Danio rerio: one gene and its partner. The protein of the gene in region 1 purifies or fractionates together with the protein of each later gene. This does not show direct contact. Links are inferred from orthologs where the notes say so. Each region holds a gene or a part of one and is shown on either strand. Other genes may lie near its edges. The genes, in order: ndufaf5 and ndufaf8.

The links.
Region 2: the proteins of ndufaf5 (region 1) and ndufaf8 purify together in Homo sapiens (affinity purification with mass spectrometry; 3 studies listed by BioGRID and IntAct, counting the BioPlex papers as one, with this or other methods). This does not show direct contact. The link is inferred for Danio rerio from reciprocal best matches to the Homo sapiens genes NDUFAF5 and NDUFAF8.

What each region holds. Positions count from the first base shown.
Region 1 is NC_133176.1:54,544,077-54,547,908, reverse strand, and holds part of ndufaf5 (arginine-hydroxylase NDUFAF5, mitochondrial precursor), read right to left. Parts: intron 3,218-3,832; coding exon 3,154-3,217; intron 2,943-3,153; coding exon 2,895-2,942; intron 2,366-2,894; coding exon 2,262-2,365; intron 2,185-2,261; coding exon 2,145-2,184; intron 1,627-2,144; coding exon 1,429-1,626; intron 79-1,428; coding exon 18-78; intron 1-17. UniProt on the Homo sapiens protein: Arginine hydroxylase that mediates hydroxylation of 'Arg-111' of NDUFS7 and is involved in the assembly of mitochondrial NADH:ubiquinone oxidoreductase complex (complex I, MT-ND1) at early stages. May also have methyltransferase activity.
Region 2 is NC_133187.1:36,733,423-36,737,804, reverse strand, and holds ndufaf8 (NADH dehydrogenase [ubiquinone] 1 alpha subcomplex assembly factor 8), read left to right. Parts: upstream 1-1,375; 5' UTR 1,376-1,551; coding exon 1,552-1,632; intron 1,633-2,079; coding exon 2,080-2,190; intron 2,191-3,623; coding exon 3,624-3,644; 3' UTR 3,645-3,787; downstream 3,788-4,382. Other genes in the region: AP-4 complex accessory subunit tepsin, read right to left, coding at 895-933. UniProt on the Homo sapiens protein: Involved in the assembly of mitochondrial NADH:ubiquinone oxidoreductase complex (complex I, MT-ND1). Required to stabilize NDUFAF5.

The DNA of each region.
Region 1 (3,832 bases):
ATAAACTCAGAGTTTACCTTGTAAATCCCTCATGACCTCCAGCATACCAGGATAATTGACCTGAACTTCATCAATGTCCTGCAACACAACAATGAGCCTGGATATAATCACACGAAGCAGATAAAAGGCTTTAAAATATAGTGTCTAATACTGCGTTCACACCAGATGCGTCAAGGAAGCGTAAAAGTCGAGTAATTTACATGTTAAGTCAATGCAATGACGCAAATAGACATCCTACAGCGCAATACGTGCAAATGAGGCAGTGCGAATGATGCGATTTGCGCGAATAAAGCGGTGCGAGTTGAGAGTTTTGCACGATTGACGCGCTTAACGAATCGCTCAAGTTTGAAAATCTGAACTTCAGCGGACATTCGTGCCGCGTTAACCAATCAGGAGCTTTCTCTTGTGGGGGAGTGATTATGATGTAGTGCCTGCTGTTGGTGTCCCGGAGTAAAAGTTGCTCCGGGGTAGAAGTTGCTCAGTCAGAAGCAACACTGAAAGCCTCCATCCTCCAGCTTAAGTTTTTGGAGGAGTTTATGAGCTCACAGAGCTGGGTGCACCTCTGAAAGATCTAGTGGACTCAGACACTGCTCCAAACGAATCGACGCTGTTTTTCAGCTTTAATAAAGCACATAAAACAGCTATTCTCTCAATAAAAGCCATGTTAGCCTTTTAGCCACCAAGCTAGTGTCACCGGGCAGACAGAAGCCCTGCTCATCAAGCAAATCCACCATACCTACCAACACTCCCATTTTTCCGGGGAGTCTCCTTTATTTCAGACCCATCTCCCGTTTTGAAAACTCCTGGAATTTCAACCCCCTAACCCCCGTTCCTCAGCTTTTTGCTTTTTTGTACAGTCCCCTGATCGCCGACCTTGGTAGGACAGACCAAGGACCCCATTCTTCAGTTTGGGAACACCCCAATCCCCCCTCTGATCTTCAATTCACTAATCCCCCCCCTTCTAATGTTCGCAAATCCACCCCCCCTGCCACCCGGTGTTCCGGATTTTCAGAGACAATTGTTGGCAGGTATGGAAATCTGTGATGATTTTTTAGTGCATTTGACCTTCGGATGAAGCGAGCAAACTCATAAAATGTTCACTCGTCTATTTACGTGTGAATAGCACAATTTATCCGCGCGTTCTGTGTCTGGTGTGAGCACAGCATAAATCTGCCGCTATGTTGATGCATAGCGTGTTTGTAACTCCATCCCTATTTGAAATGTGGGCTGGGAGCACAATCTCATTTGAATTTAAAGCAACAGGCACCAAACGGCACAACTTGGATCAAAGCCTGAATGGGTGAGTTTCAGAGAGCTATAAAACAGTATTAGTGTGGTATTTTGACATGAAACTTCACACTCTAGGGAGTTCAGAGACTTATTTTACATTTTGTAAAAAAGGATGTAATAGGGCCCCTTTATATTTACCACAGTGAGCATGTTGAATCCGGCCTGTCCCAGCAGGTTGCCCAGGTCAGTGACGGCAGTATACGGTGAGATGTGTGGCGCAAACCCGCCCTCCCTCTCCAGCTCCGCCAACTGCAGAGAACAGCGCAGCTCGTACAGCGTCTCACCGCCGACCATCGCTCCGATGAACACACCATCCGGCTTCAACACCTGGTGAATCTGAACACAACACAAGTCCATTCATTCATTTCATTTTCACCATAGCAGAATGAACCGTCAACTTATCCAGCATATGTTTCACGCATCAGATGCCCTTCCAGCTGCAACCCATCACTGGGAAACATCTATACACACTCATTTACACACACACCACAGACAATTTAGCTTCACTCAGTGGCTCAGTGGTTAGCACTTGCGCCTCACAGCAAAAAGGTCACTGCTTCGAGTCCCGGCTGGGTCAGTTTGCATTTCTGTGTGGAGTTTGCATCTTCTCCCCATGTTGGCGTGGGTTTCCCCCACAGTCCCAAGACATGTGGTATAGGTGAATTAGATGAACTAAATTGGCCGTGGTGTATGAGTGTGTATGGGTGTTTCTTAGTACTTAGTTCTAGGTGGAAAGGCATTCGCCGCGTAAAACATATGCTGGAATAGTTGGCGGTTCATTCCGCTGTGGTGACCCCTAATAAATAAAGGGGCTAAGGCAAAGATGAATGAATGATATATAGCGCTACTCATACCTGTCGCAGGGCTCCGGGAAGGTCGTTGATCCAGTGCATACTGAGGAGACAAATAAGGGTTTGTAAATAACAGCTCATTCCTAAATTTCCCCATCATGCACTGGGGTGGTGTGGTACCTCAGGCTGCTGAGCACTAGGTCAAATGTGTTTTCTTTAAAGGGCAGGAACTCCTCGTCTGCCATCACACACTGAGCGGGAATATCACTTTTCTTCCTGTTCCTCTGGAGAGAAAAAAAAAAGCAAGAAAATCTCAGTCATATACAGGTAAAGTCAGAATTATTAGCCCTCCTGTGAATTTTCTTTTAAAGATATTTCCCAAATGATGTTTAACAGAGCAAGACATTTTTCACAGTATTTCCTATAATATTTTTTCTTCTGGAGAAAGTATTATTTGTTTTATTTCAGCTAGAATAAAAGCAGTTTTTATTTATTTTTTTAACCATTTTAATAAAATTATTAGCCCCTTTAAGCTATATTTTTCTTCAATTGTCTACAAAACAAACCATCATTATACAGTGACTTGCCTAATTACCCTAACCTGCCAAATTAAGCCTTTACATGTCACTTTAAGCTAAATACCAGCATCTTGAACTAGCATCATGTCCAAATAAAAGTATTAATTTCTTACAAAAACATCCTGCTGACCCCAAACTTTTGACTGTTAGAATGGGCATAATAACGCAGTTATAATGCACATATTTACAGTATTTTGCATTTGCAAATAAAACAAAGCAACAAGAAGTCTCTTACCAGGGACGAGCTTGAAATGTCTGTTAGAAAGAGACGTTCGACAACCTCCTGAAATGAGAGAGAATCCGTGTTACCATAAGACGCGTTTAATTTAGGAATATAACTTTAAAAATTCTGCTGAAAAACACAAAAAAAGATGTGCACGCTGCTCTTTTCAATAAAGTGAAGATTACAAGCTTCTCATGACTCAAATTACTTTTTTTCTGCACGAAAATATGGATTAAATAATGGATACTTGCCAGACTAAGAACAGTTTTACCTTACTCAAATGCTCTGCGATGTGGCTCCTTCCACATCCTACATCCAGAGCCAGAGGGAAAGTCCTGTAATGACATTCAAAAATGTATGTTTTGTTATTGTTTACTGGAACTCATGTTTTCGCTGCAAAACCCACAGTACTATTCTTATTCTGGTGAAAACTAATAGGAGATATTAGTCAGAATTCCAAAGCTTCTGTTACAATGAAAGTGAACGGAGTCTAGAGCTGTTGAAATCCCCCGAAATAACTTCCAATTCAACTATTCATCACACAGAACTATTGGATGACATACAGTAGTATACATTATTGCCATGTCTGCAGGAAATTTGACGTATTGCATTGATTATATTTAGCTGGAATAGTTGCTTTTAAATATTTCACTCTACCCGATTAAATTTCTATTAATGATTAGTTTTAATTGCTAATATGTGACCCTGGACGGCGAAGCAGTGGCGCAGTAGGTAGTGCTGTTGCAACACAGCAAGAAGGTCGCTGGTTCGATCCTCGGCTCAGTTGGCCATTCTGTGTAGAGTTAGCATGTTCTCCCTGTGTTCGTGTGGGTTTCCGCCGGGTGCTCCGGTTTCCCTTACAGTCCAAAGACATGCGGTACAGGTGAATTGGGTAGGCTAAATTGTCCGTAGTGAATGAGTGTGTGTGTGGGGTTTCCCAGGGATGGGTT
Region 2 (4,382 bases), on another chromosome or scaffold:
ATCGAGAGAGGTCAGCTGAGGTGGCTCGGGCATCTGTTTCGGATGCCTCCTGCATGCCTATCTAGGGAGGTGTTCTAGGCATGTCCCACAGGGAGGAGGCCTAGAAGAAGACCCAGGACATGCTGGAGGGACTATATCTCCTGGCTGGCCTGGAAACACCTCAGGATCACCTGAGGATCCCCTCAGAGGAGCAGGAGGAATGTCAGAATAGAAAGAAGTCTGAGGTTCTCTCCTAAGACTGCTGCCCCCGCTACCCGGCCCCAGAAAAATGAATGAAAATGAGATGAGAAATGGGGATGGACAAGTTATTTTATTTTAAAACTGTAACTGCAGAAAACGCCCAGCAGTACACACCAGAAGAAATAATAAACCCTAATTCATCTACTGATTATATATTTTTTTATAAAGCTATTAATAACAATATCAGTAAAAATGAGCATTTATCAACCAATACTAATTATTACTATTAATTATAAATACGAATTACTTTCTGAATCCTCTTACATTTTCAGTACAGTCAGTACCCATACCATAAATGTTCTATGGCAATACTGAGGTTACTTTAATGTAACGTAGAGTATTAATATGACACTAATGTAACAAACAGTTTTAGTATTACCCTGGTTTTACCACAGACCATTTGCACTTGTGTCATTACTATGGTACATGTCAAAAATACCATAGTAGTAAGTACCACAACACTGTCCAAAACACCATGGCATATTTGATTGTACATTTCCAGCGTCTACAAACATAAATATCAATCATTTGTACATGTAAACAGTGTAGTGACCACATATATCGCCAGATATTGAATAAACAACGTAAGGAATGACGTTTGGCGATAGCGACAGCTGAAATGACGTTATTTTGCCCGGTGTCGCGGATACGTACTTTTTGTAGGAAGACCAACCGTTCCAGTATTGAAACCATGATGGAGCAGTCTGTGTTTTTTCGCCTGGCTGTGTACCATTTCTCAGAGGGCGGATGACCGTGCAGGTCCTGCCTGCGAGAATCTCCGCACAAACCACAGGAAACCTCAGTTTAGCTCAGACACTCTCGTTTGACACAGCGAGGTCAGAGTTGTGAGTCGACTCTTTTAGTTGAATCAGTTCGACTAGGTTGCTTATTTAAAATGAGCTGTTCAATGGAACCGATTCACTGACATGAACCGTAGATACTAAAATGCACGTGACTAAACGCGGACGTGAAACTGGGGTGGATTTCGTGAACATCCTGAAAAAGTCTTTGAAGTCTGCGTCCTTGCTATTGGCTGCTCACCATACGTAGAAAACTATGACCAATCATAAACCAGCGACATGTTTTCTGGTTCAGAAGTAGCGCTGTGATTGACCAGATTCTCCTCAGTGGGAGGGTTTACACGCGCTGTCTCAGAGGTCACCAGCATGGCGCTGTCCATGTTCAATATACACTCTGCTTACATCTCCATGACTTTTGTGAATAACTGACTGACACAGTGATTTAAAATGATTTAATCCTAGCAAAATTCGATTCTGCTGGTCCATAAAAGGATTATTTATTTCTTGAACTATGTCGGGTTCAAATGTTTGGACTCGCAGCAGAGCGAGAATGAGACTCTTCCCAGAGCTGATGGCTCAGTGCTCAGGAGAGGTACATTTACATTTATTTATTTATATATATATATATATATATATATATATATATATATATATATATATATATATATATATATTTATTTATTTATTTATTTATGCACATGTACACTGTAAATACACACAAACACACAATTTGACAACTTCCCTGTGTGTTTGAATTAAAAAAAAATGGCCTGCACAATACACGTTTTAAGTTAAGAAATCGATAATTGGTGGAATAATGATCATTATTTTCAATCACACCAAATAACTTAATTTCTTATTTGACCAATTGTAATTTTCTGAAAACAAATTCTCTAAATAACAGTTGTTGTTTTAATATATAACCAATGTTATCAAACCTTTACTGAATAAAACAAATAATAACATTTCACTCAAACCCACACCTAATAAACAAATCCTGAAAAATAAAATATTATATTAAACTAAATTATGTTAATAGGCCACTGCTTATGGGAAATGTGTAGCCGCCACAACCACTGGCAAACAGGAGCTGACCAGAAACATGTGCGTCAAAGAATTTGAAGCACTGAAAAGCTGTTTTCAATCTGCTGTGAGTGATTTCCTTTCTTACATTTTCTTCTTTTGTATTACTATCGAGCAAGATAATAACTGTGTTTCATTCATGACATGGCTAATCATAAACTATATATATATATATATATATATATATATATATATATATATATATATATATATATATATATATATATATATATATTAGTGGTGTATTGGATCCCAAATCTAAGGATTCGGATCACATCGTTTTTTAGTCATGGATTGGACCATTTTTTCTGATCAGCCAAGAAGGGGAGACAAATGTAATTTGCTTCCCATTTATTACAAAAACAGCACTGCAAGACACTTTTGGTTTTAACAAACAAAACTCAGAACCTATAATTTTATTAAAAATATAATGAAGAAATAATCAGCTGAATAAAAATAAATTGTAAAATATTCAGTACTGTGAACAATTCAGTTTCTACTACTGTTGCTGATGACTCTAAAAGTATAAATCTAACATTATAATTCGGACAATCCATATTTATTTTTAGTCTAATTTTCGAATAATGATTCAGTTATTCACTTGTAAATCTTCATGTTTCATTGCTGGATGCATCATTTTTGAAGAATTACTGAGTGGCATATTATTGATGCCTGGTTGTCGCCACCTATTGATTTAAATAATGTAATTGCTGCCTACAACTTTCATTTTTGAGCGTCATTAATGATGGTGATTTTAATCTCTACCATAAACATCAGTGATTTTATCCAAACTTTAAACTGTTATTCCAGTACTTCGGTGTTATTTTACTGTTTGAAACTAACTCAAAGACTAAATACTCAATCTCTTTCTTGATTTTCGCGTTTTCAGATTTGAATGCAGCTATTCGAATGAATATATGCAAATCACCATTATTTATAATAAATATTGCGTGGGTGTTAAGATCCCGATCTTTCAATGATTAATCGTGCAGCTTACACTGAATGCATCGATGCAGGCTAAACATGAAGTGACAGAAAACACTTTTAATAAACTGAAAAACCCACCACATCCCGAATAACCCACCACAACTTAGTCCATCTTCGTTATATTTTACAGAAAAGCCTAAATGCTTTCATACATGTGATTTGAATGACGTGAGACGCTAGATCTCTCTGTGATAATTTAAAATTTTGGATTAATCTACCAGTAAAAAACACATTAATCCATGGATCATGTGTGTTCCGAACCGTGTGTTGTGATCCTTATGAATCACGGATTAACTGTGATCTGTTACACCCCTAATATTTAAATATGACATGTTTAGGATGATGCTGTTTTTTAAACGTGTTTTGATATGTTATTTTGATTATACAAGTTATTTGAATCAATAAAGTTGCTCTACTGCCATTTTAGATGCTATGTATTTATATATATCATAAACTTAATCTGATACAGATGTCAAAATGGGACAATAACTAATTGTTTCTCATTTTTTGCAGGCGAAAAAAGCAGTAAAGTGAAGAATATTATGTTGGAGATTATTATAATTTCCCAGTGAACCATTTCTCTGTTAATATGCATGACTGTACTGTACAATAATGTCTCAAAACAATAACTCCATTGTGTACAAATCTATAATAAAGTCTCTTTTTTATATATAAAATCTCTAATAATAATGTTTTTTCTTCAGACATAGAACATAACATACAGAGGCAGTTTGGCCTGAATTATTTCACCGTCTGCATCCATTACCCTCCCCTTTCCACAAATCAATATACCAGAATGAGGATAAAAGAGCCTGACTAATGATAAGCAGACATTCGCTGTTGTTCAGAGTGTGTAATTGATGAGGGAGAAATGAGATATGAGGTGCTACATGATGGGTGGTCATTATGACGCTCTTGACCGTCACACGATTCCACCTTCAAATCTGGACTCGCTCCTAAAATCCAAAATGGCGGTTTTAGGGGGTTTGTTTCCAATCAAACAAAAGCCGGCCGAAACATGAAAGGCCGACTGATTAATGTGTATCCGTGGGGTGTACGTCAATGGCACCACAAAAGATTATGGGCTCCTAGTCGTCTCGTATGGAATGTAAAGCCGTGCCACTGTTAAATACACCCTTCCTGCGCAACCTGAACCCTCATTAGCCACATGTTAATTGATAGAAGGGCCATAAAAGCAGCAACTAATGACTGGGGATCAACAAACAATTCAAGCAGCCAATTAGAGGGACGGATCGGGTATTAAAAAACTGT